4 linked regions of the Stegostoma tigrinum genome follow. The protein of the gene in region 1 binds, or shares a complex with, the protein of each later gene. Links are inferred from orthologs where the notes say so. Each region holds a gene or a part of one and is shown in the gene's direction. Other genes may lie near its edges. The genes, in order: snrpe, prpf3, rnf113a and lsm4.

The links.
Region 2: snrpe (region 1) and prpf3 share a complex: the UniProt entries of both Homo sapiens proteins name them as parts of the U4/U6-U5 tri-snRNP complex. The link is inferred for Stegostoma tigrinum from reciprocal best matches to the Homo sapiens genes SNRPE and PRPF3.
Region 3: snrpe (region 1) and rnf113a share a complex: the UniProt entries of both Homo sapiens proteins name them as parts of the minor spliceosome. The link is inferred for Stegostoma tigrinum from reciprocal best matches to the Homo sapiens genes SNRPE and RNF113A.
Region 4: snrpe (region 1) and lsm4 share a complex: the UniProt entries of both Homo sapiens proteins name them as parts of the U4/U6-U5 tri-snRNP complex. The link is inferred for Stegostoma tigrinum from reciprocal best matches to the Homo sapiens genes SNRPE and LSM4.

The regions. Positions count from the first base shown.
Region 1 is NC_081374.1:11,214,589-11,222,470, reverse strand, and holds the start of snrpe (small nuclear ribonucleoprotein E), read left to right. Parts: upstream 1-4,753; 5' UTR 4,754-4,868; coding exon 4,869-4,922; intron 4,923-7,254; coding exon 7,255-7,281; intron 7,282-7,604; coding exon 7,605-7,667; intron 7,668-7,882. UniProt on the Homo sapiens protein: Plays a role in pre-mRNA splicing as a core component of the spliceosomal U1, U2, U4 and U5 small nuclear ribonucleoproteins (snRNPs), the building blocks of the spliceosome.
Region 2 is NC_081400.1:2,578,916-2,587,214, forward strand, and holds the start of prpf3 (U4/U6 small nuclear ribonucleoprotein Prp3), read left to right. Parts: upstream 1-5,209; 5' UTR 5,210-5,281; intron 5,282-5,336; exon of another isoform or gene 5,337-5,442; intron 5,443-8,299. UniProt on the Homo sapiens protein: Plays a role in pre-mRNA splicing as component of the U4/U6-U5 tri-snRNP complex that is involved in spliceosome assembly, and as component of the precatalytic spliceosome (spliceosome B complex).
Region 3 is NC_081384.1:39,858,275-39,865,632, forward strand, and holds the start of rnf113a (E3 ubiquitin-protein ligase RNF113A), read left to right. Parts: upstream 1-3,860; 5' UTR 3,861-3,894; coding exon 3,895-4,006; intron 4,007-7,358. UniProt on the Homo sapiens protein: Required for pre-mRNA splicing as component of the spliceosome. As a component of the minor spliceosome, involved in the splicing of U12-type introns in pre-mRNAs. E3 ubiquitin-protein ligase that catalyzes the transfer of ubiquitin onto target proteins.
Region 4 is NC_081383.1:1,023,269-1,030,705, forward strand, and holds the start of lsm4 (U6 snRNA-associated Sm-like protein LSm4), read left to right. Parts: upstream 1-4,040; 5' UTR 4,041-4,050; coding exon of another isoform or gene 4,051-4,053; 5' UTR 4,054-4,118; coding exon 4,119-4,136; exon of another isoform or gene 4,137-4,168; intron 4,169-5,749; coding exon 5,750-5,791; intron 5,792-7,437. UniProt on the Homo sapiens protein: Plays a role in pre-mRNA splicing as component of the U4/U6-U5 tri-snRNP complex that is involved in spliceosome assembly, and as component of the precatalytic spliceosome (spliceosome B complex).

The DNA.
Region 1 (7,882 bases):
GAGGGGAAGAACAGGTTAGGGGGGGCAGAGACAGGTTGGACTGTTTTTGGGATGCAGTGGGTTGAGGGGAAGAGCTGGGCTGGTTGTGTGGTGCAGTGGGGGGAGGGGACGAACTGGGCTGGTTTAGGGATGCGGTGGGGGATGGGGAGATTTTGAAACTGGTGAAGTCCACATTGATACCATTAGGCTGCAGGGTTCATTAATAAATGAAGCAGTTGCCTTTCAGGTTTAGGGCAATCCGAATTGAAGAAAAGCAATAGAATAGATTTGCAAGACCTATTACTAGCTTTCCTCACTTCTAATGAAGGGTCAACCTGATAGAGATAATAGGAACTGCAGATGCTGGAGAATCCAAGAAAGCAAGTTATAGAGCTGGATGAACACAGTAGGCCAAGCAGCATCATAGGAGCAAGGAGGCTGATGTTTCCTGCTCCTCTGATACTGCTTGGCCTGCTGTGTTCATCCAGCTCTACACCTTGTTACCTCGACCTGATAGATCTGCTTCATTACATGATTGGTGCCTGATCAGCTGTGAAGAAATTTTCTGTTCTTCGATCTGAGTAATAGTGAACAGTCATTTGTCTGAAAAATACAATGTCATTTCCCAGTGGTTGACTTCAGGATCACTGCATGTGGCAACTTTTAAGTCTGTACATGACACAAATTTGAGAAAGGTCGTAAACAAACTTATGGACTGGCGAAATGGGCAGATGTATGGTGGATGATATTTAACATATGAAGGTGAATTATTACATTTTGGTCAAAAGAAATACAAAGGCCAATTCAGGAACAGAAATTTGGACTGTCCATACATGTCTTTGAAAATAAAAAGCACAGAAAGCTATTAAAAAGACATGGAATTCTTTGCTTTATGAAAATGTCTTCTGCTCACAAACAGGCCCAGCTGGACTATTGAGTCTAATTCCATGGGCCGCATTATAGGAAGGAGATCTAGGCTTTCGGTGCAGAGGATCTTAATTAGTTTGATACCAGGGATGGAGAAATTAAACAAAATGTGAATTCAGTAAAGTCATTTATAACACCATGAAATATTTTGCTAGAATAACAGTAGGGGGACGCTTGATAACCGATCTAAAGTAACTGGTGAAAGAATCAGTAGTGACGGAAGGAGAAAAATTTAAAATACTGTGATTTATGTTCTATAATACACTATCTGAAAGGGTAAAGCTGGCACACTACAAACTTCCAAAAGAGAACTGGATATATGTGGGAAAGACTAGAGGGGTAGGATCAACTAAATAGCTTCCAACAACCTGAACACCTACCTTGTTGAACCTGACTACCCCCACCAGTTGCAGGGCATGCAGATTCACATTGGACTGCTAAGTCACCTCAGGATGCACAAATCAAAGCTGGAATAGCCCTCTGGAAATCAAGCCCTGCTAAAAGTTAAAAATGTTATCATAAGTTTCCAATTTTCCTGTCTGATCAACTCGTTGACAGAAAACATGAGCCAAACTCTCTACATAATGGGCTACTATTTTTTAGAATTGAATAGTTGTTTGTCTGTGGAGAGAATCAATGAAAAGCTGACATATAACTCTACTCTCTGATGAAGGGTCTAGGCCCAAAACGTCTGCTTTTGTGCTCCTGAGATGCTCCTTGGCCTGCTGTGTTCATCCAGCGTCACATTGTATCATCTTGGATTCTCCAGCATCTGCAGTTCCCATTATCTCTGATATAACTCTACTAACCGTTTTAATAAACACCTCCTACATACACATACATGCAAACAAAAATGACAGGTCTGGATGAAAGGGGATTGAATATTGGTGAAACAGTTCAAGGGCACCTATCTTCAGGACTCAATGGAGGAGTTCACTTTGTTTCCCAAGTCCTTTAGTTTTCTGAATTTATCCTTTAGGTTTTTCACTCCTTTATGGGAGGCACAGAGTGACTGATTCACAAATTAAAAGGTGTTTACCTTATTGGTTAAAAGCAATAGCTTATAGCAACTAATGAGATAAAGAAAAATGGCTTTCCTTAGCTTCAGGTATTTTACCGGCGAGAAACACACCACCTCCTCTTCCAGAGGTCTAATGGTTTCTCACTACTTGCTCAATGTAATAGTCAACCACAAATTGACCGGCATCCATAAACCAATCTGGTAGTTGTTAGGTCAATGATATTTAGCATCCATAACCGGTCGCAATTCCACAAACCAATCAGTTACTTGTCGCAGGCCAAAATCTTTGTACATGTGCCATTGTGCCACGCTATCTATTGACACCCTCCTTGAATGCACGCAAAGCAACAGTGTATCCATGACTTAAGACAGGTTCAGTAACTTGCTTTTAAAAGTATAGCAGTTTCTTCCTCAGTTGTTTGATGTAAAATAGTTCCCATTTCAATCCACAATCAAATATAATGTAACCTAAAAAGATAATCTCTTACATTACTGAGTAGAAAGAAATCATCCTTGGTCTCAAGGGTCTGGTTGAGAGGAAGTTTCGTTTTCTGAACAGTCAGGTTGAATTCAAATGTTTATCTGCTTTCTTACCACATGTGCTGTCATACCTGCTTATTTTCTCCAACACTTTTTGTTGCGTGAACAGCAGACCAAAATTGCAACGATGTCACAAAGTTACACATCACTGAATGTAAATAGCACATTGAGGGCATGGTTAGAACACAATGTATTACACCTCATTATACTACACTAGATTAGAACTTTAGAGTCTGGAAAGCATATGGACATGGACACAACAAAGATTAGTCCTTACCTAACATAATAATTCAGAGCCTTATTTATCTATGATTAGCATAAACAGCAGCATTTAACATGTAATGAACACGGAAATATAGAAAATAGCACAAAAGGCTATTGGGGTCTTTGAACCTGCTCTGGCATTCAGTATGATCAATAGTGTTGATCTGAAGTCTAAGTCTCAAATAGTCCTAGGCGTTGCCTTGTCTTCAATCAGTCTATGAAGAATACAGCGTTAATGGTGAGGCATCGAACCAGACAATAAGGAAGTGCTGATGATAAAACAAGACACATTTTGTCAGAAGTTTTCTTCTTGCACTCATTGAGAAGAAACATTAATTCCATGGGAAAACCAACATTCATCTGTTTGGGAGGAGGGTGCTAAAGGATGGATACATTGGCAAAGAAATTAATGCAACAAATAACTATCAGCTACAGTTAACTGCCAGCCACGGTTTAAATTTTAAACCAGATAGGTTGAAAGAATAAATATCTGTAAATGTTAGTTCAGTTTCCCTGGCCCCACTAAAAAAAAACAGATAATGCTGTTAATGAGAGATAATGGGAACTGCAGATGCTGGAGAATTCCAAGATAATAAAATGTGAGGCTGGATAAACACAGCAGGACAAGCAGCATCTCAGGAGCACAAAAGCTGACGTTTCGGGCCTAGACCCTTCATCACAGAGGGGGATGGGGTGAGGGAACTGGAATAAATAGGGAGAGAGGGGGAGGCGGACCGAAGATGGAGAGTAAAGAAGATAGGTGGAGAGGAGAGTATAGGTGGGGAGGGGATGGGTCAGTCCAGGGAAGACGGACAGGTCAAGGAGGTGGGATGAGGTTAGTAGGTAGGAGATGGAGGTGCGGCTGGGGTGGGAGGAAGGGATGGGTGATAGTAAGAACAGGTTAGGGAGGCAGAGACAGGTTGGACTGGTTTTGGGATGCAGTGGGTGGAGGGGAAGAGCTGGGCTGGTTGTGTGGTGCAGTGGGGGGAGGGGACGAACTGGGCTGGATTTGGGATGCGGTGGGGGAAGGGGAGATTTTGAAGCTGGTGAAGTCCACATTGATACCATTGGGCTGCAGGGTTCCCAAGCGGAATATGAGTTGCTGTTCCTGCAACCTTTGGGTGGCATCATTGTGGCACTGCAGGAGGCCCATGATGGACATGTCATCTAAAGAATGGGAGGGGGAGTGGAAATGGTTTGCGACTGGGAGGTGCAGTTGTTTATTGCGAACCGAGCGGAGGTGTTCTGCAAAGCGATCCCCAAGCCTCCGCTTGGTTTCCCCAATGTAGAGGAAGCCACACCGGGTACAGTGGATGCCTCCTGCAGTGCCACAATGATGCCACCCGAAGGTTGCAGGAACAGCAACTCATATTCCGCTTGGGAACCCTGCAGCCCAATGGCATCAATGTGGACTTCACCAGCTTCAAAATCTCCCCTTCCCCTACCGCATCCCAAAACCAGCCCAGTTTGTCCCCTCCCCGCACTGCACCACACAACCAGCCCAGCTCTTCCCCCCCACCCACTGCATCCCAAAACCAGCCCAGCCTGTTTCTGCCTCCCTAACCTGTTCTTCCTCTCACCCATCCCTTCCTCCCACACCAAGCCGCACCTCCATTTCCTACCTACTAACCTCATCCCACCTCCTTGACCTGTCCGTTTTCCCTGGACTGACCTATCCCCTCCCTACCTCCCCACCTACACTCTCTCCACCTATCTTCTTTACTCTCCATCTTCGGTCCGCCTCCCCCGCTCTCCCTATTTATTCCAGAACCCTCTCCCCATCCCTCTCTCTGATGAAGGGTCTAGGCCCGAAACGTCAGCTTTTGTGCTCCTGAGATGCTGCTTGGCCTGCTGTGTTCATCCAGCTTCACACTTTGTTATCTTGGATTCTCCAGCATCTGCAGTTCCCATTGTCACTGCTCTTAGTATCAGATGCCGCCTCCACGTTACCATAGCAGCAAGGGCCCCGCCTCCTCGTTACCATAGCAGCGGGGGCCCGCCTCTTCCCGAACGCGCCGCGCCGTGCTGGGGAAGGTCAGAGGTCACGGTGCGTGAAGCGGGAGCCGCCATTTTGTCTCCATTTTCTTTTTGTGTTTTCCCCCCTTCTTGAGGCGGTCGCCGGGTCGGAGCCGAAGTCATGGCGTACCGCGGGCAGGCGCAGAAAGTGCAGAAAGTGATGGTGCAGCCCATTGTATCCTTTCGGCGGGTGGGGAGGTGTTCGGATCTGAGGAGGGAGGGAGGGAGGGAGGATCGGCCCGTGACTGGGCGCCCCGGGCTCGGGCCTGAACCCGAGACTCCGGACCGGATCCTGTGCCCAGGCTTGCACCCGGCCTCGGGGCCTACACCCTGCCTGCCTCTCTTCTCTTGCCTTCCCTTCTCTCTCTTTCTTTCCCTGTCTGTCTCTGAGGCCTCCTCCCTGGGTCTATCCACCGTGCGATGGACGGCGAGCGGCTCCTCACAACAAGCTCCATGTGCCGCCCGCCTTCGTGCTCAGCCCCATTGAACAACGGCTTTTTAAATCGTTTTGTTTTAAAGTTATGGTCGTCCCGTGTTTTGTGGAGCCTCGGGCTGAGAGGGCCCGTTACCCTTGGGAAGTCAGAACAATGAGAGACGACCTTATTAAAATCTATGGGATTTTTGGCGTATTTGACAGGGAAGATGCAGAAAAGGTTGTATTAACTTGTGGGAAAGTCAAGGAGCATAGGGTATAACCTCTCACCGTAAGGGGTCGTACATTTGAGACAGAGATGAGGAGGAATTTCTCCAAGATGGCAGTGAATCTGTAGAATTCTTTATAGCAGAGAACTATGCAGTCTGTGGCATTGAGTGTACTAGAGATTGAGAAAGATTTTTAATCGGGCAAGGAAATCCAGGGTAACCGGGGTAAAGGCAGCATAACAAAGTTGAGGAAGGATCACTCGATCTGAAACACTAACTTTGATTTTTCTCTGCAGATTCTGCCAGACCTGTGAGCTTTTTCAGCAGTTTGTTTCTGTTGCTGAAGGTTCTCACATCAGCCATGCTCTCGTTTAATGGCAGAATTGTCATTGGGCTGGATAGCCTATTTCTGCTCTTGTCTTGTGGGAATTGTTCAAATTAGTGAATTGATGCAGCATGGTTTGTTGAGGTGGGGTTTTCAGCAGCGTAAGGCAATCGCTCAGCGGTTTTCTGTGGAGGGCCCTCACCAAATATGGTTGACATATAAGTAGCACCTTTAACATAGTATAAAACCAGGCCGCTTTACAGGAGCGTTACTGGACAAAATTTGTGTCCATGACATTTGACATATTTGGTTAACTGGCAAACTCCTTGTGAAAGAGGTAGACTTTGTGGTGTGTCAGAACGGGGAGAGTGCAGGGAAGTGGAGTTGAAATGCTGATCAGCCATGATTTAAATGGCAGCGTAGACTCGATGGGCCGAATGGCCTTACTTCCACTCCTATGTATTATGGTCTTGTAGAAAGGAGGAAAGTGAAGTAGGAATACAAGACTCTTGAGCAGCTGAATATGTGCAGTCATAAATAGCAATATAACCATAATTAAGGATGCTCAAGAGGCTCGAATCAGATGAGGGCAGACATTTGTACGGTTGAGCAAGATTACCTGCAGGAACTTTATAACAAGGATGAAAGTTTTCACATTGCAACATTTGTTTGACCAGGAGTTTTAATAAATTGATTGAATGTAGGATTGGTGGATTGAATGCATTATACAAACCTTTGAATTGAAGTTAAATACTACAGGATAAATTAAGTATAGTTGCTATGCATCATTTTGAATCTAGTTTATTATACTACCATTGTGAATCTCAATATTTGTAAGAGCAATTTTTGGTATAATAGTGTTATCCTGTTGTTATATCCTTGCTCAAGTGAAGGTACCAAGTGCACGTTATTGCAATGTTGCTGTATTCACAGGAGAATTTTGAATGTGGGCTTGGGAGCCTTATTGGGTGGAAACTTTTGTAAACATACTGAATCTAAACTATCAGGCAAATTAGATTTGGTCATTATACATGTGCACAGTCTCAGATGCGAATGTCACCTAGGTAGTGGAATAGCTGTCAGTACAAATTTGGAAGAACTGTTTCAGTGATCTTTGTAAGAGCTAGGCATGGACGTGACTTCGGTATTTAATTTTAAAGGCTAAGGAGAGAAATTCCACTGGAGTTTATCTTTCCTGATCCTCCAGGAAGTGCATTCTAGACACACTAGTTTGTGAATGTGGGATGAGGATAACATTGAGTTTATGATGGTGTGCAGTTGAATAGATTGTAGATAATTACTTGAGCGACATAATTAATGGCCATTTTAGAAAAGACGCCAATGTTCATGTCTATCAATAAACACATCAATACTGTAGCTGTAAACGGTTTTGAGGTAGGTATTATGCATCATTTTTTCATTAGATTGGTGACCATACCACAGACTGGTTATAGATAGCATGTGAGGGATACGCAGATCTTATAATGGAGATGTTCATTATATAATTTATAAATGTTGTCCTTAACTGAACGTGCAACAGAATCTTATTTTCAGGTACCTTCAGAATGTAAGTAAAGCTGTTTACTTTTAATATTTTACATAATTAATCATCATGGTAATGGTGTTTATCATACCTGTTAAGTGAATGCAGTTTATTAATGACTTTGCTGCAGTAATTCAGCAAAGGGCTGATTAAATCTCAACTTAATTGCAGCTCTCTTACTAAGTCAGAAGTCATGAGTTCATACCCACTCCAGAGACCTGAACACAGTCTTTTCTGACTCTAATACATGACTGAGGGAGCATTGCACAGCTTAGAGGCACTGTTTTATTCAAACTCGTTGGAAATAATTTGTTTCTGACTTGAATTACCTTTTTCCTTTACTCTAGAGATCCAGGATCCAAGTATGGTTATATGAACAAGTCAACATGAGGATAGAAGGCTGTATAATTGTAAGTATGAAAATTAGCCTGGAGTTCTGATGTGCAGTTAATTGACTTTTCACAATTCAGTCAGGCTGCTTTGGCTGACAGTTGACCAGCAAACCTGAAGTTGCATCAAGTGAATGCAGTCATCTGTTGTTTTCTGTAAGTGTGATTCCAGTTATGTTTGCAGTCTACCATTTCTTGTGGAAACTGGTAAAAGATAGAGTGATAACAAAGTGTGA
Region 2 (8,299 bases), on another chromosome or scaffold:
GACAGGCAGAATCTTTTTCCCCAGATTTGAAGTGATGAAAACTAGGGGGCATGTATTTAAGATGCAAATGAGAAGTTCAAAGGAGGTGTGAGGGGCATTTTTTTTAGACACAGACAGCGCTAGTAGTTTAGAACATGCTGCCGGGGTGGTGGAGGCAAATACAATAGGGCCATCTAAAGGACTTTTAAATAAGCACATGAATATGCAAGGAATGGGGGGGGGGGTGAGCGCGATATGGACAACGAGCAGACAGAAAGAGTGAATTTAATTTGCAGCCATGTTCGGAAGAACGTTGTGGGCTGAAGGGCCCATTCCTGTGCTGTACTGTTCTATGCTCTAAAATGTATTTACCACAAAGGTCAGTGCTGAGGGAGTGGGCACTGTCGGAGGGTCAGTGCTGAGGGAGTGGGCACTGTTGAAGGGTCGATACTGAGGGAGCGGGTACTGTTGGAGGGTTAGTTCTGAGGAAGCGGGCACTGTTGGAGAGTCAGTGCTGAGGGAGTGAGCACTGTTGGAGGGTCAACACTGAGGGAGTGGGCACTGTTGGAGTGTTAGTTCTGAGGAAGCGGGCACTGTTGGAGAGTCAGTGCTGAGGGAGTGGGCACTGTGGGACAGTCAGTGTTGAGGGAATGGGCACTGTCAGAGGGTCAGTGCTGAGGGAGCGGGCACTGTAGGAGGGTCAGCGCTGAGGGAGTGCTGCACTGTTGGAGGGTCAGCGCTGAGGGAATGGGCACTGTTGGAGGGTCAACACTGAGGGAGTGGGCACTGTTGGAGGGTTAGTTCTGAGGAAGCGGGCACTGTTGGAGAGTCAGTGCTGAGGGAGTGGGCACTGTGGGACAGTCAGTGTTGAGGGAATGGGCACTGTCAGAGGGTCAGTGCTGAGGGAGCAGGCACTGAAGGAGGCTCAGTACTGAGGGAGCGGGCACTGTCGGAGGCTCAGTACTGAGGGAGCGGGCACTGTCGGAGGGTCAGTGCTGAGGGAGTGGGTACTGTCGGAGGCTCAGTGCTGAGGGAGCTGCACTGTTGGAGGGTCAGAGCTGAGGGAGTGCTGCACTATTGGAGGGTCAGCACTGAGGGAGCGGCACTGTTGGAGGGTCAGTGCCGAGGGAGCGGCACTGTTGGAGGGTCAGTGCTGAGGGAGCGGGCACTGTCAGAGGCTCAGTGCTGAGGGAGTTGTCACTGTCGGAGGGTCAGTGCTGACAGAACCTCGTGCCAGTCTGTTGTCTGGTTCCAGGACCTGGGGTGAGGGGGTGCTTTGCTGATGAGGCTGTCAAATCTCAACCTGGGTGCCGTGTGGTCAGGGTTCTGTGGGGACAGATCTCCTTGGCAGATTCAGACAGTCCCTCACCTCCATCCCAAGTAACCACATTCCACATTAACTAGGCCTCCCTCAAGTCTGGAAGAAATGGGAACGGGGTGGATGGGATGGATGATAGGGGAAAGGCAGGGGAGATAATGGGTGGGGGAAAGGGAGGGGGAAAAGAGATGTAGGAACTGGAGAGGCATTGAAGGGGAGGGGAGAGGCTAAAACTGACAGAGGGGGAAGTGGTGAAGGTGGAAGGGGGGCAGGATGGGGATTTTGGGGAGAAGGGATGGAGATGAGCAGCAGAAGGAATGGGGGGGTGCATGAGGAATGGGAAGGACGTTGGAAAGGTGAGGGGAAGGGTTGGAGAGGAGGGACAAGGTGGGGGTGAAAGGAAGGTGGGAGTGAGTTGAAATCGATGCAGCAGGATGGTGAAAGGTAGCAGGGAGTGTGGAAGTGAGTGGGGTGGCGGAATGGGAGAGGGATGGGGTAGGGAATGGGGATGGGGGTCTTAAAGGGGGGTGGAATGGGATAGAGGGGGTAAATGGATGAGGGATAGGGATAAAGAGGGAGGGTTTGGAGGTGCCCAAAGGGTGGGTGAAGCAAGAGAGGGTGGTATTCAGCCCCTCAGGCCTGTTATGCAGTGTCGTAAGAGTCTTTTCACTTTTCTGTATTTTTATTAGTGGACTGAAATGAGAGAAGAACTCTTTTAAAACCAAGGATTGCTGAAAGGCTACTGTTATGCTCTTTGAAAGCAAGCAACCTGACACTTATTGGAAGTGTTTCAGAGACAGAAGGAAGTGCCGATGCTGGAGAATCCGAGATAACAAGGTGCAGAGCTGGATGAACACCACAAGCCAATTAGCATCAGAGGAGCAGGAAAGCTGACATTTGGGTTTAGACCCTTCGGTCCTGACCCGAAATGTCAGCTTTCCTGCTCCTCTGATGCTGCTTGGTCTGCTGTCTTCGTCCAGCTCTACACCTTGTTTTCTCTCATTGGAAGTACTGTTTGCACAGCTGCTGGTTCAAACAGGAGGAGGAGAAGGTGCAGACACAGCACAGGCAATGGTGTATACAAATGGAGATACAGCTGGCCACAAGTCTGTCAACTAGTGTCCAGTTATCAATGACAAAGATCTGCGATTGGTTCTCAAGTAGCTGAACTGCTTGAGGTTGTGAACAAGACATGGTGAGAGGCCATCTGATCTCCACCAGCTCAGGAATTATTTTTGTTCTCTTTCAGCCTCCAGATAAATTCTTCTTCTTACCAGGGAGGCTTTTACACGTCTCTGAAAGTACTTTTTCTTTGATCTCCACCATCAAATCACCCATTAAACCAAAGAAAAAGTTTATTTATTAGATAGGATTCATTTCATAGAAACCCTACAGTGTGGAAGCAGGCCATTTGGCTCATCGAGGCCACACCAACCTTTTGAACAGCATCCAACCCAGACACAAACCCTGCCCTATCCCTGTAACCCTGCTTTTCCCATGGCTAATCCCTCTAAGCCTGCATATCCCTGGACACTATGGGCAACTTAGTGCGGCCAATCCACCCAGCCTGCACATCTTTGGCCTGTGGGAAGAAACCCACGCAGACACAGGAATAATGTGCAAACTCCATACAGCCCAAGGCTAGGTCCCTGGCGCTGTGAGGCAGCAGTGCTGATCACTGAATCACCGTACTGTCCTTCAGCAGTGCAGTATGCTGCGAATTTTAAGTAAAGAATCAGAGACCATCTTTAAGTGAACCAGCTTCCTTCAAATCAGTGAAAACCTCCAGTAAAGGAAGATTGAGAAACAGCGTTCTGATCAGCACAAGAACCATCCCAGCAGGTCCTGTGAACAGAGAGCACGAAACTGTTTTCTCAGTTTTCCTTCCATCCAAAACACTCATTTTTTCCCCCAAATTTGTGCTTAGAGGGGTTTATAAGTGGATTTAGAGTTTTAATTAGTAGTTAATTTTTATTCCTCTTTTGGTATCTAAGATTTAATAAAGTACCTTTATTACCTAAGATGGTGCCACAAGAGGCAACATTGAACACTTTTCACTGTTCTTCTATACTTTAGTACACATGACAATAAAATCTAATTCTATTTGTTGATGGTTCAAAATTGTTTACCTGTAGTTAGAGTCTATTTACTTCTAATATATAGTCATATTCTTGTTAAATATGGAAACCTGGTCTGTTCTTTCTGTCAACCTGGGAGTAAAGGTCAGGTAAATTGGAGAATTTGGCATATGTTTTAAAATCTTTAGCTTTTGTGATGACCCCAGAAGAGTGAGGCTTGATTTCTAGCATGCTACCCAGTGAGGTGTAACAACTGGAATAGGAAGAAGTCACTGAGATCCTCTGTTCTGACATTTAATGCGAACGTGACTGATCTGCATTTATTAACTTCATCCACATGCATCCATTTTCCTACATACACAAACAATTTCAAAATTTCAATGAAGCATTCTTAGGGCCCTTGGCGTGGTCATTAACTTTGCAATGGCACTTACTAAAAAGAGTGCAAATTCAGTAACTCAAATCTCTGATACTTTATTCCCACTGGATGAAAGATGGCCTAGTGGACTGTAAGGCTCATCTTCAGATACGTCAGTTGCAAATCCTGGGATTTTCGGTAAATGATGCAGCAGATGTGGAATCTACACAGGTGCAAGGAAAGAAACCAAATTGGGAAGAATCTGAAAATTCCAGCTTTGTCAGGGATGCTCTAGATCAGGTTCAGATTCCTGGTGAAATTCTGTTTTTTGGTAGGTGTGAGATTCCAGGAATTTTCAGATCTTCCAAATTCTTTCTCAAAAGGCTCACTGTAAACCCATTCGTGAATCTATTCAAGTTTGATGGAACTTCTTGAATCCTGGATTCAAACTTAGGAATCCTGATACACCTTCTCTGTGAGATTCTGGGGTAATTTTTGTTTTCAGGGTTGTCAAATTCCCCCACATCTGGGCATTTCCTTGCATGCCTGGACGTTTGTTTCACAGTTGCTAAATTTGCAGCAAAGCTCTGGAATTTTCTGGAATGATCCAGACCTTCCCTGCAACTGATCTTGTAGAGTTCTGGGTACTCGCTTGGAATTTTCAGGAGCCATTTGGTTGCAATCTTCTGGGACAATCTGGGGTACTCCTGGGGACGATTTGTGAAAATTTCCATAATGTTCTGACGCTTCCCTGGAACTGATCTTGTAAAGGTATTCCCCTGGAATATCCTGTAACAATCCAGGCCTTTCCCTGGAAATTATCTCCTTGAGTTTCAACGTTCCCCAGGAATATTCTGTATATTTCCCTGGAACTGATCTTTTGAGAATTCCCATCTTCCCCTGGAATAGTCAGGAACATTCTGGGGCCACGGAATATTCCAGAACTTTCTGTTGACTGTGTCCAGCCTGGTTCTACTCCGAATTCCGATTTATACATGGAGTTAGGTGTGTTGGAACTTTCCAGAACTCACCAGAGCATTCCTCTGGATCTGTATCTGAAATTATTTTACGGTACATTTCCATCCTTTCTCCAGGAATGCTTTTGTTTGGGGAGGGAGACTATTTTTCTGTTTCTTTCTGTTTGGAAAGGCTGGATCCCGCTCTGGAATGTTCTAGAACACGCTAGGCCTTTGCCCCTGTGATGTTCTAGTACAATTCTGGGACAATGTCCTTCTTACACCACCCCAGATTCCTCTGTTTTTTTCCAAAACATCGTGGCTGGGGTTTGTCGAAAACAACACACGTTCCCCCCAAACGGTCCTTTGTGATGTTCTAGAAGCGTCTGGAAAGTTCGGGGCAACCCTCTGGCGCCTTCCCGCGGTCAGGAGGACGAAGCGGAACCTTTCTTCTCCCGCCGCCCCCAGTCTTCCCCAAAACAGATGCATCGCGCCCAATCGGGGAGTGCATTCGTTGTTACACTCGGCCCCGGACGGTTTTGAGTGTGGCGCCAGCGGACTTCCGGTGAGGCCGGTGTGCTGTGCCGAAAAGGTACGAGGGAGCTGGCGGGGAGGGGAACGAAGGGGGAAGGTTGAGGAGGGGGGCACCGGCTTCCGGGTCCGGGAGGACGGTTGAGCCGGGGACACCGGTTTCCGGTTCCCGACCCCTTTTCTCTCACTCCCCGTCTGTTCGCGGGACAGTCGTCGCAGCGGGTGAGTGAGGCCTGAGGCCTGCGGCCTGCGCCTGTTGTGTCGGGGGGGGGGGGGGCAGTAGGCTTGGCGCGGGGTAGTATCCACCATCGCCATCCTCACATCATTAACAGCCTCAATGTGGCACTCGGACGAGGTCCTGGGGCCTTTGCCCTCCCATTACACCCCCCCCCACTCCATCCCCTAACCCCAACGCCCTCCCCTCCTCACTCCACTCCCCCTCCCCCCTCCCCACTCCACTCCACCCCCCCTCCTCCCCACTCCACTCCACCCCCCCTTCCCTCCCCATCCCCCTGGCCCACCCCACCTTCTAATCCCCCCCCCCCCCGACCGTGTGGTCCCCTATTACCACCACCACTACTCTCCCCGACCCCTCCAGCCCTTCCTCCTGCTCTCCCTCTCTTCATCCCCTTCTCCCCCCCACCCCCCACCCACCCCCCCACCCCCACCCCCACCCCCCCACCCCCACCCCCCCACCCCCACCCCCCCACCCCAACCCCCCCACCCCAACCCCCCCACCCCACCCCCACCCCCCCACCCCACCCCCACCCCCACCACCCCAACCACCCCCACCACCCCCACCCTGCTGCTCCCTCCAGACTTGAAGGAGGGGCTGGGTTAGTGTGGGATATGGCTAGATGGGGATGGTGGTGAAAGACTGTCTGAATCTACCGAAGAGATCTGCGCCCCATTGATCCCTCCACTCCAGGGCACCTGGAGGGGGTGGGGGTGACGGTGGTGATCTGGCACCCTCATCAGCAAAACACCGCACATGCACACGCGCGCACGCACACACACACACCCGTGAGTCAGACTGGCACCAACCACCGGTTCCCTCAGCACTGCTCCTCCGATAGTGCAACGCTCCCTCAGTGCTGATGCTCTGTCAATCACCTGCCAGGACCTGTATTATTCTTTGGTCCTGAGAGCTCCCAGTCGCAGGATGAAGATTATGGGTTCCAACCTAATTTTGAAATGAATTTCAGCATAGAATTCAACACCGTCCTTGTGACGAGAGAGCGGCCTGTTGCTGTAGAACATGAGAGATCCTGTTGTGCTGTCTACATTAAAATGTCAATTCCTGTGAGCTGACCCATCATTGTCCCTGATCAGAACTCCCATGTGCTAACCCTACTCCCAATCTCCCGCACAAGTGTCTTCACATATTCTGTCATTGACATTTGATGAGTGGTTCTACATTGGTGGTGGAGTAAAGGTGGTTGACCAGCTGGCTTTCAGTAAACACTGACGGCCAGTGACCCTGACTAACTGCTCCCTCCTGCCCTCTTGTAGCCATGACGTAATTGGCCAGAAGCTCTTCCAGGCACAAGACGAATTGATGAAAACCAAGTTTGATTAATGCCTACCTCCCACCATGCATTCACAATCATTTCGTTGATCAACCAGTTGTGGAATCATTCAGGCTGGTTTTTGATCTTGTATTATACAGGGTTAACTAATAACTTTATAGGGTATCTGAGGAAGAGTGATCGTAACATGGTCATGACACTGGGAATAATTTTGTTAAGTCATAACCTAGGGTCTGAAGAGGGTTATTGGACTCACACGTTAATGACATTTTCTGCCCATAGATGTTGCTAGCCCTGCTGAGTTTCTGTTAATTTCTACATTTGAATTAGGCTCTTAAGTCTGAGCAAGGTGAACGGTGTACAAAGGCAAATTTGACCTCAACAGATTGGAACAAAATCATGATCCAAAATCAAAATGTTGCAGATGTGGGAAATCACTGATAAAAACAGAAAATACTAGAAGCTCTCAGTAGGCACGTTGGCATTCGAAGGAAACTGTTACAAAATCCATGATGTATTAAAAGATATTTAAATTTTATATATAATTTGTGGTAAATACATTTTAGAACATAGAACAGTACAGCACAGGAATGGGCCCTTCAGCCCACAACGTTCTTCCGAACATGACTGCAAATTAAATTCACTCTTTCTGTCTGCTCGTTGTCCATATCGCGCTCCCCCCCCCATTCCTTGCATATTCATGTGCTTATTTAAAAGTCCTTTAGATGGCCCTATTGTATTTGCCTCCACCACCCCAGCAGCATGTTCTAAACTACTAGCGCTGTCTGTGTCTAAAAAAAATGCCCCTCACACCTCCTTTGAACTTCTCATTTGCATCTTAAATACATGCCCCCTAGTTTTCATCACTTCAAATCTGGGGAAAAAGATTCTGCCTGTCAACCCTATCTATGCATCTCATAATTTAAAAGACTTCTATCAAGTCTGCCCTTGCTCTCTGGAGCAGTGGAAATTAATCTGAGTTTTTCTAGCCTCTCCTTATAGCTCATATCCTCTCATCCAGCTAGCATCCAGGTAAACCTCTTCATAGCCTCCACATCCTTCCTGTAATGTGGAATAACTACCAAACAGGATAAGCAGTCAAACCACATGATGTTATAAGGTTTGGTACAGATTAAATGACGTGTATCAAGTTGAGAATTGGGAGGACTTTAGAATTCAGCAAAAAATGACAAAAATAATTGATGGAGGAGATTGCATGTGTAATTGTAGAAAAATGAAAAGAGCCTTCTGTAAATATATAAAATGGAACCAGCTGTTGAAAGTAAACGTGGGGAACAAGGAAACAGCAGCGACATCAAGCACAGGTTTTGTGTCTGTCAGCCATGGCAAGTGGAAAGAGTCTGACCCCTGACTTGGGAGGCTGGGATCAAGTTCCCTTCTCCTCTCCAATGTGAGCACAAATACGCTGCAGTGTGTTCACCAGTAGGCTGAGTAAAAAAAGTGTTGGGTATTTGGATTTTCATAAAGCATTTGATTAAAGTGCCACGTATGAGTCAATTACTGTAAAGCAGGATACATAGAATTGAGGT
Region 3 (7,358 bases), on another chromosome or scaffold:
AACTGACCAAACTGACTCCTCACAAAAAGGACAACAACAAACCAAATGCATGGAGAAGAAACCTATCTAACAGACAACTCACAGAAACGGAGAAAGCTGTCCTACTACGCGGACTGAACTATAACCACAAAAGATGCGAACAGAACAGGCTTCATGGCTGCCCTGGAGAATACATTAAAAGACAACAGCCTCAGGGAGGAAACACAACAAGCCCTGGGTGCTCTGGTGTAGTGGTCAGTACTCTGGTTTCTGAGCCCTGCGATCCAAGTTCAAGTCTGGGTGCAGCCTATTTCCTGCCCCGGTTAGGGTTCAGCCTCAGGCAGTCTCATTTTTGTCATTGCAAGTCCGAGAATTGAAGAGGGCTGATTTTGGGCGGCACGGTGGCTCAGTGGTTAGCACTGCAGCCTCACAGCATCAGGGACCTGGGTTCGATTCCTGCCTTGGGCGACTGTCTGTGTGGAGTTTGCACATTCTCCCCGTGTCTGCGTGGGTTTCCTCCGGGTGCTCCGATTTCCTCCCACAGTCCAAAGATGTGCAGGTTAGGTGGATCGGCCATGATAAATTGCCCGTAGTGTTCAGGGGTGTGTAGGTTATGGGGGGATGGGTCTGGGTGGGATGCTCCAAGGGGCAGTGTGGACTTGTTGGGCCAAAGAGCCTGTTTCCACACTGTAGGGAATCTAATCTAAAAAAGCCATCCGACAAACTATAAATCGCCACACTACACAGAAGGAACAAAGGGGACAACCTGAACACAACAGAGAGAAAAGCACTATATAAACTCAGGAAAGTCAAGAACATCATAATCCTAGCAGAGAAAGGATGCATGACCATTATCATGAACAACCAGAGATAATGGGAACTGCAGATGCTGAAGAATCCAAGATAACAAAGTGTGGAGCTGGATGAACACAGCAGGCCCAGCAGCATCTCAGGAAGATTCTGCTTGGCTTGCTGTGTTCATCCAGCTCTACACTTTGTTATCATAAACAACCAGACTACGTTAAGAATGCTAAGACACTGCTTGCAGATACAACCACTTACCAACAGGTGGCGATAGACCCAACACCACAGCTCAGTAATCGGATCAGCCAGGCACTGAAGCTACTAATGAATGCAGGGCAGATAACCAAGACAGACTTCATGAGAATGAAACCAGCAGGCACAAACACCCCCTCCCTCTTCTATGGACTCCCTAACGTACATAAACCAGACATCCCTCTCAGACCCACTGTTTCCTGACCAAGACACCTTCACATAAACTGGCCAAAAACCTACAACAGAGATTGAAACACTTAGTAGATAGATCACCTCATTCTATTCACACAACACAAGATGTCCTTGATACCCTCAAAAACATAAAAATCAGCGACTAGATTATGGTATCCTTTGGCGTCACAGCTTTATTCACATCAATTGACATCCCACTAGCCGAAGAAACAGCGCCCATATTACTAGAGGAAATAGCAACACAGACCAGTAGCTCCATCAACAAGGACAACATCATCTTCCAACACTTCTGCCATCTGCAATCCGACCCCACCACCAAAGACATTTTTCCCTCCCCACTCTTATCTACTTTCTGGAGGAACCACTCACTCCATGACTCCCTTGTCTGGTCTACACTCCCCTCCAGCCCCACTACACCCGGCACTTTTCCCTGCAACCACAGGAAGTGCTACACCTGCCCCTACCCTCCCCCCTCACCCCCATCCTAGGCCCCAAGGAAACCTTGCACATTAAGCAGATGTTCACCTGCACATTTGCCAATGTGGTATACTGCATCCGCTGTTCCAGATGTGGCCTCCTCTACATCGGGGAAACCAAGCGGAGGCTTGGGGACCGCTTTGAGGAACACCTATGCTCAGATCACAATAAACAACTGCACCTCCCAGTCGCGAACCATTTCAACAACCCTTCCCATTCCTTAGACGACATGTCCATCATGGGCCTCCTGCAGTGCCATAATGATGCCACCCGAAGGTTGCAGGAACAGCACCTCATATTTCACTTGGGAACTCCACAGCCCAATGGTATCAATGTGGACTTCACAAGCTTCAAAATCTCCCCTCCCCCTACCGCATCCCAACACCAGCCCAGCTTATCCCCGCCTCCCTAGCCTGTCCTGCCTCCCTCCTATCCATTCCTCCCACCTCAAGCCCCACCCCCACCTCCTACCTACTAGCCTCATCCCGCCCCCTTGACCTGTCCATCCTCCCTGGACTGACTTATCCTCTTCCTAATTCCCCACCTACACTCACCTTTACTGGCTCCTCCTCCACCTCTTTGACCTGTCTGTCTCCTCTCTACCTATCTCCTCCTTTATCCATCTTCTTTCCACCTCCCTCTCTCTCCCTATTTATTTCAGAATCCCCTTGCCCTTCCCCATTTCTGAAAAAGGGTCTAGGCCCGAAACGTCAGCCTTCCTGCTCCTCTGATGCCTGCTGCGTTCATCCAGCTCTACACCTTGTTATCTCAGATTCTCCAGCATCTGCAGTTCCTACTAACTCTAGCTAAGTGGAGGGTTGAGGTCATAACACATAATAGCAGAAGGAGGCCATTCAGCCCATCAAGTTGGCTCTGCCATTTGATGAGGACATGGCTGATCTGACAATCCTCATCTCCATTTTCCTGCCTTACTAATTAAACATCTACCTCTACTTAACAATCTAACTGTGAATAATTTCACAAGAGCAGTTCCATTGAATGTAAATTCCAACATCCGCTATGGCAGACTTTGAACCCACATCCCTACATTACCTGAGTTTCTGGATCCAAATTGATATCATTAGGCTATTGCCTCCCTCACTGGTTTCTCTTTTTCAATTTAAATATTTAAAGAAGTGCTTGTTCTTCATCTTTTGTTACTTGCATGTTTACCCTCAGTTTATCTTCTTCCTTCTTGCTATTTTTTGGTTTTCTTTTGATGATGTTTAAAACTTTCCCGATCCTCTGACTTAACATTAATCTTTACCAGATTGTATTTTTTTCTTTCATGGGGTAGTGGTAGCTGAGACTCATTGACTGGAAAGATATTCAAGCCTGAAATTCTGGTAATATTTAAGAAAGATACCCCTCATTAATGGTGTTGTAGGTCTACGTACAGCACATAGACTGCAGTGGTTCAAGAATGCACAGCACCACCAAGTTCTCAGCGGCGACTAGGGGCAGGCAATAAATGCTGACACAGCCAACGATGCCTACATCCTATGGATTTTTTTTAAAATTAGATGACTTAGGTCTGAATATATATGTCCTGAAGTGTAACTGAGCATTCAAGAGTGCACAAATTTGAGTTTAAGTTTAAACAATGAGTTTGGTTATGGCGAAAAGGCAGGAGATTGGCACTGAATTAAAATATTCAGAGAGCCAGTCAGACACAATGGCCGTCTTCTGCACAAAAACAATTCTCCTCCTCACCTACACACCTTTACTGGCTCCATCCCTGGCTCCTTGACTTGTCTGTCTCCTCCCCACCTACCTTCTCCTCTATCCATCTTCTATCCACCTCCCCCTCTCTCCCTATTTGTTTCAGAACCCTCTTCCCCTCCCCCATTTCTGAAGAAGGGTTTAGGCCCGAACTTCCGGCTCCTCTAACGCTGCTTGACCTGCTGTGTTCATCCACATTCACTCCGCATTATCTCGGATTCTCCAGCATCTGCAGTTCCTCCTATCTCAATCATTTAATTTCACTCCATTCTGTGAATAACAGAAGTCACAGAGGACAGTGTCGTTCCGAGCCACCAGGGGCCGCTGTGTGCAGTGCCGTCGAGGCCACTGGGGGCCGCTGTGTGCAATGCAGCTCTGAACCACTTGGGGCCGCTGTGGGTATTCCCACATGGAGCCACCAGGGGCTGCACGGGCTCCGCTTGCTGCTGATGTTGTATTGTTGTTAAGATGGCGGAGTCCGGGGAAGCGGGGAAGACGGCCCCGGTCTGTACTTTCCTCTTTAAAAAATCTAGCAGGAAATTTAAAGGAAGGAAGCGGAGGGCGAGCGCTAGTGACAAAGGTATTGACCTGGAGGGAGGAAGGGGCCGCATTCTCCGGCTGTGTCTCCGCTCGGGCTTAAAACGGAGCGCAGTTCTCACCAGGCGCCGTTTCATGCAGCTCGGAAACAGACCATTCAGCCCAACCAGTCCGTGCTGCCCGTAATCCCAAAGTAAACCAGTCCCACCTGCCTGTTCCTGGCACATATCCCTTCAAACATTTCCTGTTCATATACTTATCGAAATGTCTTTTGAACATTGTAATTGTCCCCACATCCTCAGGAGATTCATTCCACAAGCGAACCACTCTCTGTTTGTAAAGAAATTGTTTTTTTTAAAAAATCCTTCTCGTCTCACCTTTAAAAATGTGCCACCTGGTCCCGAAATCCCCCACCCTAGGGAGAAGACACCTGCCATTCACCTTATTTACGTCCCCTCGTGATTTTATAAAACCTCTATAAAGTCACCCCTGAATCTCCTACCCTCCAGGGGAAAGAGTCCCAGCCTTTCCAGGTTTCATCCTCAACAACAAATCGCACTGATTAAAGTGCATTCTAATGTGGTGATGCTAAATTCAACAAACCCGCTTGCTGTCCTGGGTTTATCTCCAAGCCCCTCAATGAGGAAGATTGATTTGACAAAAGATCTTTGACAGAGGTAAAGTAATTTGCATTTAAGTACCACCTTTCAAGACCACAGGCTTTTTTCCTTCAGCATCAAGGCTAATAAATTACTGGAATTCACTGTTGTAAAATCGGAAGCACTGAGGCTGGAGTCTGGGCGGGGGGGATGCATATGCACAGGAAAATCTCCACACACGGCATTTTGTAATAAACTGATAATAAACAGATCAACTGTTTCAGTAACATTAATTTAGCGAGGGGCCTATGTTGGTCAGGAATCCGGGGAGAATAACTTTGCTGTTCCTCTCATAGTGCAGAGGAACCTATTGTCTTTCCCTGAGAGCTTAGACACCTAGAATTTAATGTTTTGTCGGAAAGACAAAGTGACAAAGTTAATATTGGCCTTCTTTTGGAATCACAGTTTAATGTTGACTTACAGTGGCAGACATTCCAGTTTCTCTTGTTAAGGTTATATTTTAGTGCTCGTGAGAGTTTCGCCACTGCTTTAATTTAGTTTCTAGGTATTTACATCCAAGATGGTCAGAATCCTCTGTTACGAGCTTTTGCTCAGTGCAGACGATGCTGCTTTATCACAAGATGAAGGCAGCAACAGGAGAAATGGAATCTTCTCTGAGAATTGAGTGTGTGTCTTCCCTAGTGTTCAGCCAGCCGAAGGTCATTTTGTGTGTTGTGTGAAAATAGAAAGCACTGGAGAAACTCAACAAGTCTGGCAGCATCTGTGGAGAGAGAAACACTGTTAACTGTTCCAGTTCTGCGTGACGTGTTTGTAATGTGAAGAAGAATCATACTCACTTAAAAATTAATTATTTACCTCCCCAGACTGCTGAGTTTATCAAGTGCTGTTTATTTTTATTTCTGATCTCCAGCATCTACAGTATTTTGCTCCTATATAAATGTGTGCAAGCAAATTACAGAATATTTACCAGACTGATATCTGCAATTGGGGATGTTGGCTTATGTGGAAAAGTTTGACAGGATAACCTTTTGTTTCCTGGAGTTGAAATTAAGAGGCAACTTGATGGAAATGCACAAGATTGTAAGCACCTGAGGGATGTGGAAAAGATGTTTTCTCTTCTGGGAGAAACTGGAATTAAGAGCAACTATTTAAAAATGAGGTCTTGACCATTTAAAGGAGAGGTGAAGTGAAATTTGTTTTGAGGGTTGTGTGTGTTTGGAACTCTGTTGCCACACCTTTTCAGGAAGAATCTTCTGAATATTTTTAAGGCAAAATTAGATAATCTTTCCTGGTTTACCAAGAATCTATCAGGGTAGGTGAGAATGTGAACTTGTGGTTTTGATCTTTTTGAATGGCGAACCAAATTCAAGGGCCCACAGGCCTGCTGTTCCTTGTTCATATGTTAAAGTTGGAGACTTGCCATCATGTATTATGCAAGCAGGTGTAGATCATTCAGCCCCTTCAGTCCACATCACCACTCAGTAAGAACAAGGCTGATCTGGTGTGGCCGCACTCCAGTTTCTTGTTTGTCCCTTGTAGTTTAAGAATTTATCTGGTACAACCTTGAATGTATTCAATGACCCAGCCTCCACTGCGCACTGTAGAAGAAAGTTCCAAAGATTACTCCTCCTTTTCAAGAAGATATTTCTCCACTTCTCCATCTTAAATGGGAGACACTTCGTTTTTAAACTCTGCCCACTAGTTGTAAATTCTGCCACAGGGGGAAACATTTTCTTAGCCTCTTACTCTGCCAGGTGCCTTCAGAATCTTATACAGTTCAATAAGATCACCTCTTAGTGCTCAAACCTCCTCAGCCTTACCTCACAACAGAACTTCTTCATCCCAGGAATCAACTTAATGAACCTTCTCTGAACGTCTTTAAATGCAAGCACTTGACTCCCTAAGTAAGGAAACAAAACTGTGTACAGTCCTCTTGGTGTGATTTCATATCTGCATTCTGTACAGTTGAAGCAACACTTCCTCCTGTATCTGGAAGGGCACCGGATCCTTCCTTACAACAGTCTGCATTGTCCCTCCGATTTGGATAATCATCTGCTTTTCTACCCTTCTCACGAAGTGGGCATTTTTCCACAATATGCTCCATTTGCTACAGTTTGCTGTTCATTTAACCTACCTATATCCTTATACAGATTCTTTGTACCCACCTCACAATTCGCTTTCCTACCTGTCTTTGTATTATGAGCAAATTTAACTACAATACAGTTGTTCTCTGCATCCAAGTCCTTAAGTAGATTGTAAATAGTTGAAGGCTCAGCACCAATCCCTATTACACTCCACTGTCTACAGTTTGTCACATTGAAAGTAACCTATTTATTCAGTTGTATTTTGGTAGTTAGCCGGTTTTGTATCCACACTAATTATCACCTTCAACACCATGAACTTCTGTCTTATGTCATAACTTTTTTATGTAACACCTTATTGGTTGCGTTTTGGAAATCCGGTACACCACACATGATGGTACTCTTTTATTTACCCTGATTGTGGTGTGATTTTCTAAGTGTTCTGCTAATACCTACGAAGATATGAGAGCAAGTTGTAAGGAGGATACGAATAATGGATACTTGCATTTGCCACATGATAAATGTTGGGCTAAGTGCCTTATCATTTTCTGTTTCTGTCACCCTTCTTTGTTGAATACATAGTTACATCTGTGGTTTTTCACATCAGTTGGGAACTTTGAAGAATTTAGGGAGGCTTGATAGATTGTAATCAGTGTGTCCACCATCTCCAGAGCTGTTCATTTTCTAAGACCTT
Region 4 (7,437 bases), on another chromosome or scaffold:
CTTCACGTTGAGGATAACCTCCATCATGTTCTAAATGGGACAGATTTCACACAGATCTAGCAACTCAGAATTGGGCAACCATGAGGTGCTGTGAGCCATCAACAACAAAGGAATTGCACTCCAGCACAATCTGTAACCTCATGGCCCGGCATATCCCCAGTCAACCATTACCAACAGGCCAGGGATCAACCCTGGCTCAATGGAGGGTGCAGGAGGACAGGCCAGGAGCAGCAGCAGGCATACCTGAAGATGAGGTATCGACCTGGTGAAGCCACCAAACAGGGCTACTTGCATGCCAAACAGTGAAAGCAGCAAGTGATGGATGGACCTAAGCAATCCCACAACCAACGGATCAGATCTAAGCTCTGCAGAGCTAGAAGTCCATCCCTGAGAGCATTATGGGTCAACCTACAGCAGGAGGACTGCAGCAGTTCAAGGCCACCTAGGAATGGGCAAGACATGCTGGCCAACCAGCGACACCCATATCCCGTAAATGAAGAGAAACAAAATGGTCCTCAGAATGAGGGACTTTCGTTTGTGGAGTAGAGAAGCAGAAAAGCTCAAGGAGATTAAATAGAGATGTTCATATTGGGTTTTGATGGAATAAATAAGGAGAAGTTGTTTCCAGTGCAGGAGGTTAGGCAACCAAAGGGTCACATTCAAAGTAATTGGCAAAAGAATCAGAGGGGAAGATGAGAACATTATTTTCGTTACAGTTGCAACATGGAATGTGCTTTTAAAAAGCTAGTGTAAACAGACTCCAACGTAATGTTTGTCACAGTACAAATAAATACCTGAAAATTAAAGATAACAAAGTGTGGAGCTGGATGAACACAGCAGGCCAAGCAGCATCTGAGGAGCATAAAAGCTGACGTTTCAGGCCTAGATCCTTCATCACCCTTTTCTGATGAAGGGTCTAGGCCCGAAACATCAGCTTTTGTGCTCCTGAGATGCTGCTTGGCCTGCTGTGTTCATCCAGCTCCACACTTTGTTAACCTGGATTCTCCAGCATCTGCAGTTCCCGTTATCTCTGGTCAGAAAATTAAATATTTGCAAGGCTGTGAGGCCTTGAACAATCTGGACAGCTCCTCAAAGACCTGGAAGTGCTATGATGGGCTGAATGGCCTCTATTTGTTCTGAGTTTCTACAGTTGGTGCTCCAGGACTTTTTACTACACCTGAAAGTGTGATATAATTGCAAGTTGTCATTGAGTAAGAATGTGGAGAAAAGCTTGTGCAATGCTCCCTAAGGTTTCATTGGCACCTGCCCTGAGCAAACAATCCTGGAAGGTACCACCTCTAGCAAGTGCCTTTGGGACAGGAAGAAAGCATTAATACAACATAGATATAGAAGGAACTGTCGATGCTGGAGAATCTGAGATAACACAGTGTGAAGCTGGATGAACACAGCAGGCCAAGCAGCATCAGAGGAGCAGGAAAGCTAATTCTGTTTTACTAACGTGTGTTTGGGAATTAAAGACTACCAACAAGTTGTATTTAGTATGTTTAATCACATGAAACACTTCAAGGCACTTAAATTTACAGGAGCAGTGTTGGGAAAATGATGGCCTTGTGGTATTAGCACTAGACTATTCATGCAGAAACTGAATGCTCTGAGAATCCAGGATCAAATCCCATGGTGAAATTTAAAATGCATTTTTAAAAAGTCTTAAATTAAGGGCCGACTGATGACTATGAAACCGTTGCCAATTCTTGGGCAAAAACCCACCTGGCTCGGTAATGCCTTTTAAGGAAAGAAACTGTCATCCTTTCCTGGTCTGGCTTATGTGTGGCCTTGGACCCAGAGCAATGTGGTTGACTCTGGGCAAACAGGGATGGGCAATAAATGCTGCCCTTCCAAGGTTGCCCTCATCCTGTGAGTGATTTTTAAAAACAAAAAATTATACTATCATATGTAGAAATATTTTAAGGCCGGATGACCTACAGCTTTTGGTCAGAGTTCCTTTTAACTCAAACACAAAACAAGGGCTGGGCCAGCATTTAAAGAGTAATTTAACGTGGGAGAGTGGTCAAGAGACAGGGAAGCATTTCCAGAGCTCACAGGTTAAACAAACAGCGATGGGATTATGTCAGAAATCACACAGCAGCAGGTTCTGGTGCAACAGGTTTATTTGAGCCTCAGTCCTTCAGACGTTAGTGAAAGAGGTAGCATCAAACACAGAATTTATAAGAGATCAAAGATCACACCACTGTTCAGGATCTATTAGACAAACCGCATGCTGCTAAATCTTCAATCAGTTCAGAGGGTTTATAATATGTACATATTATATATTTCCATATCAGTATACATACACAGACGAAATCTTTAGTCAGTTAGGTTTTAGCCGGGGGGGGGGGAAGCAGGGAGGAGGGGACCGGGGGGGAGGGGGGTGCGGGGGGGGGGAGGGGGGTGCGGGGGGGGGGAGGGGGGTGCGGGGGGGGGAGGGGGGTGCGGGGGGGTGGACAGGGGTGCGGGGGGGGGGAGAGGGGTGCGGGGGGGGGGAAGAGGGGTGCGGGGGGGGAAGAGGGGTGCGGGGGGGGAAGAGGGGTGCGGGGGGGGAGAGGGGTGCGGGGGGGAAGAGGGGTGCGGGGGGGGGAAGAGGGGTGCGGGGGGGGGAAGAGGGGTGCGGGGGGGGAAGAGGGATGCGGGGGGGCGAAGAGGGGTGCGGGGGGGTGAAGAGGGGTGCGGGGGGGTGAAGAGGGGAACGGGGGGAAGAGGGGTGCGGGGGGGGAAGAGGGGTGCAGGGGGGAAAGAGGGTTGCGGGGGGGAAAGAGGGTTGCGGGGGGGGGGAGGGGTGCGGGGGGGAAGAGGGGTGCGGGGGGGGAAGAGGGGTGCGGGGGGGAAAGAGGGTTGCGGGGGGAGGTGGAGCAGGGGGCAGGGTGAGGTGGAGCGGGGGGAGGGGGCAGGGGAGGGGAGGGAAGCAGGAGGGGAACGGGGGGAGAGGAGCCGGGGTGGGGAGGGGGGAGCGAGGGGAACGGGGAGGGGGAGCGGGGGGGGGAGAGGGGAGCGGGGGGGGAGAGGGGAGCGGGGGGGGGAGAGGGGAGCGGGGGGGGGGAAGAGGGGAGCGGGGGGGGCGGGGGGGGAGAGCAGTGGGAGCAGGGGGAGTGGGGAGAGTGGAGCGGGGGGAGCGAGGGGAAGCGGGGGGGGGCAGGGGGGGGCAGGGGGGGGAGCCGGGAGCTGGGGGAAGGGGAACAGGAGGTGAGCGGGGGGAGAGGGGAGCAGGGGGAGAGGGGAGTGGGGAGCGGAGGCAGAGGGGAGCGGCGGCAGAGGGGAGCGGCGCGGGGGGGGAAGGGGGGAGCGGAGAGTGGGGGGGAGGGGAGAGCGGGGGGGGAGGGGAGAGAAGGGGGGAGGGGAGAGAAGGGGGGAGGGGAGAGAAGGGGGGAGGGGAGAGAAGGGGGGAGGGGAGGGAGAGAAGGGGGGGAGGGAGGGGAGAGAAGGGGGGGAGGGAGGGGAGAGAAGGGGGGGAGGGAGGGGAGAGAAGGGGGGGAGGGGCGGGGGGGGGCAAGGGGGGAGGGGCGGGGGGGGGCAAGGGGGGAGGGGCGGGGGGGGCAAGGGGGGAGGGGCGGGGGGGGCAAGGGGGGAGGGGCGGGGGGGGCAAGGGGGGGAGGGGCGGGGGGGGCAAGGGGGGGAGGGGCGGGGGGGCAAGGGGGGAGGGGCGGGGGGGGCAAGGGGGGAGGGGCGGGGGGGGGCAAGGGGGGAGGGGCGGGTGTGGGAAAGAGGGAGCTGGTTGGAGGGGGACGGCGGCAGATGGAGCCCGCGGGGGGAGGGGAGGCGGGATGGGGGGTGTGAGGTGGGGACGGGATTCGGCGCCAAGTGCTGGGCTGTTCCTCCTACGAAGGCCCCACTTTACGCCAACTATTGCGACAGCAACCTCAGTACGGGGCGCCACCTCTGGTCGCTGCCATCTCTGATTGGCTGTGTCTGTGGCCGCGGCTGCTGATTGGGGAAGACAACCCGTCCATCAGGCTGGCGGGGCGGGGCTAGGCCGGAGCCGTAAGTTGGGTTGTCGCAGCCGCGGCGGGAGGAGCGGGAACCAGAGACGGAGACAGAATGGTGAGGGTGAGGGCCGCAGGCTGAGCCTGAACAGGCTGCAGCATTGGACGCTGAGGGGTGACCTTATGGAGGCTTATAAACCCGTGAGAGTCATGTGTAACAGAGAATAGCCAAGGTGTTTCTCCGGGGGGTTTAAGGTGAAAGGTTTAAAGGTCTCGAATGTCAGCTTTTTCACACTGAGTGGGGTCTGAGGAAGTGGAGGAGGCTGGTACAGCCATAACATTTAAAAGGCATCTGGATGGGTACATGAATAGGAAGGGTTTAGTAGATAATGGGCCAAATGGGACTAGATTAATTTAGGATATCTGGTCAGCGATAGGCAAGTTTGATCGAAGGTAAGAGATAACAAGGTGTGGAGCTGGAGGAACACAGCAGGCCAAGTAGCATCAGAGGAGCAGGAAAGTTGACGTTTCGGGCTGAGACCCTTCTTCAGAAATGGGGGAGGGGAAGGGGATTCAGAAATAAATAGGGAGAGAGGGAGGCGGATAGAAGATGGATGGGGGAGAAGATAGGTGCAAAGGAGGCAGACAGGTCAAAGAGGTGGGGATGGAGCAAGTAAAGGTGAGTGTAGGTGGGGAGGTAGGGAGGGGATAGGTCAGTCCACGGAGGGACGGACAGGTCAAGGAGGTGGGATGAGGTTAGTAGGTAGCTGGGGGTGCGGCTTGGGGTGGGAGGAAGGGATGGGTGAGAGGAAGAACCGGTTAGGGAGGCAGAGACAGGTTGGACTGGTTTTGGGATGCAGTGGGTGGGGGGAAGAGCTGGGCTGGTTGTGTGGTGCAGTGGGGGGAGGGGACGAACTGGGCTGGCTTTGGGATGCAGTGGGGGAAGGGGAGATTTTGAAACTGGTGAAGTCCACATTGATACCATTAGGCTGCAGGGTTCCCAGGCGGAATATGAGTTGCTGTTCCTGCAACCTTCGGGTGGAATCATTGTGGCACTGCAGGAGGTCCATGATGGACATGTCATCTAGAGAATGGGAGGGGGAGTGGAAATGGTTTGCGACTGGGAAGTGCAGGTGTTTAGTGTGAACCGAGCGGAGGTGTTCTGCAAAGTGGTCCCCAAGCCTCCTGTTTCTGTGCTATGTATCTCTGTGACTCTAACGGGGGTTGTGGGGAAAAATGATTGAACGTGTCGTTATAGAGACATATGGGGGGGGGCGCGGTGGAGAAGGATGGTTGGTGAGGGAGGAGAGAATGAATCAGTCGGGAGAGCAGGTGAGAGGAGAGAAGATGTTGATGTTGAGCTTGGTGGGGTGGTGTGCTGTGTGGGTCTTAATTATACCGATATACCAGGACATTGTCGGGGAATGAGGGAAAGGGGCAATTGGGCAGGAATGTGAGAATGTGAAGAATATCCCTGACTCCCAGCCTCCCTTTGGTGTGGGGTGAAAGGAGGGAACCCATGTGCTGCTGCTTTTGTAATCTGAGCGCTGTTGATGGATTTCCCACTCTGAGACCTGTACAGTCAGTCCTAATTCTATCCCTTTCCAGCTTTAATCCTGGAGGCAAGGGTCGTGCTGATTGTAGCTGTACTTCCCCACCCATTTTAAAAGAGCTTTTGTTTTTAGTTTTTATATTTAGTTGTAACTCTTACGTTCTGATTTATAGTGGGGATGTTATCCACATTAGCAGTAATTGTTTTGACAAATTAAACTTTCTTCTCAGATTTAATCAAATGTTTTTCTTCTTTATTTCAGCTGCCCCTTTCATTACTTAAGACGGCACAGAATCATCCAATGGTAAGAGAGGCTGAGAGAATGCCTGCATTTTGCTCCATGATTGGTCCAGGCAGGGCTCCCACTTTGGCACATGGACTGTTTGAGCTCCTCAGTGATTCAAGCCTACACTTGTCGCTCCCTCAGCCAGCAGTCGTTTTTTTCCACCTGAGTGTTTGACAACTTGTGTTATTTTTAAAGAGTAAGTTAGCAATCATGGCAAGTAATTTTTATACTGAAATGCCTTAAACCCCCAGTCTCTGCCTGAGTGCTACTTCTCAGCTTTAATATAACTGAACAAGGGGACAAGTGTATGCTGTGGAGTCTGTCCCAGTATTCTATATTTGGCTAATTGTCGCCTTTGGACAGGTTTCATACATGTTTTTAGTGCCTCCCAGACAAGGGCCTTTGAACAGTCCCCTTAAATGTTTACACTTCTCAAAGTTAAGAAATATTCTGCCTTGACTTTTGTCTACCAAAGTGAATAGCTTAAATTATTGACATTATGTTCCAGCTGACACGTTCCACCCTGTGCACATAGCCTGTCCAAGTCCTCACGAAGCCTGTTTGCATTTCCACCTAATTTGGTGTAACGAGCAAATTTGGAAATATTACATCCAAATTACTTGTACAGACTATGAACAGTGTGGTCTTAGCACAGTACCCCAGTAACAACAGCCTCCCATCCTGAGATTTTTTCTGTTCACCAATTGTCAGATAATGAGGCAGTACATTTAATCATCAGTGACTTTAATGTTCATGTAGATTGGGAGAATCAAGTTGGCAAAGTGACAAAAAAACTTCATGATGTATTTGAAATTGAATCCACTTCTTCTTAGAAGCTAGCGGGGATCAGGCTTCTTCGGATCTGGTAATGTGAGTTGAGGCAGCATTAATAAATTAGCCCACAATAAAAGATACCTCCAGGAACAGTGATCGTAAAGCATTCAGTTTGGGTGCGAGAAATTTGTATCAGAAATGACTGTACTGAACTTGGGGGTAATTATATTAGAATGAGGACAGAGTTGGCTGGAGTGGTTTGGGAAAGAAGTTTAGCAGCAAAGGTGTTTGAAGAACAATGGCAGACATCTGAGAAGATAGTTCCTGGCTTTCAGCAAAGGTACTTAACCAGTAAAGGAGGAGGATTCCTGAAAGGGGTGTTATGAAGTTTTAGTAGAGTAATCGTGAGGTGGAAGGAAGGAAGCTAAAATATATTGTTCCTTGTGGTATATGATACAGTATAAGTGATTGTGGTGATGTTGTGTCTTCCTGCTGAGGCCTGTACCAGAGGTAATGGCGGATTATGCTTTTCGGATATCCATTTCTTTTGAAGGCACTGTATAGGTGCTTGTATTATACTTCGCGTTTTTCCATAGATCAAGGACATTTCAGAGATGACCACAAGAATACTCAGACCGCTAGGTATCAGAGTAGCCTACAAACCAACAACCGCCCTACAATAGTTACTGGTGAACGTAAAGATCCCATACCCAAAACCAGCAAGCCAATGTAATATACAAAATACCATGCAAGGACAGTGAGAAACACTACATAGGCCAAACCAGAAGAAAATTGACAATACGGATACATGAACAACTAGCCACCAAGAGACATGACCAATTCTCATTTGTCTCACTACACACAGACAATGAGAGACATGAATTCGACTG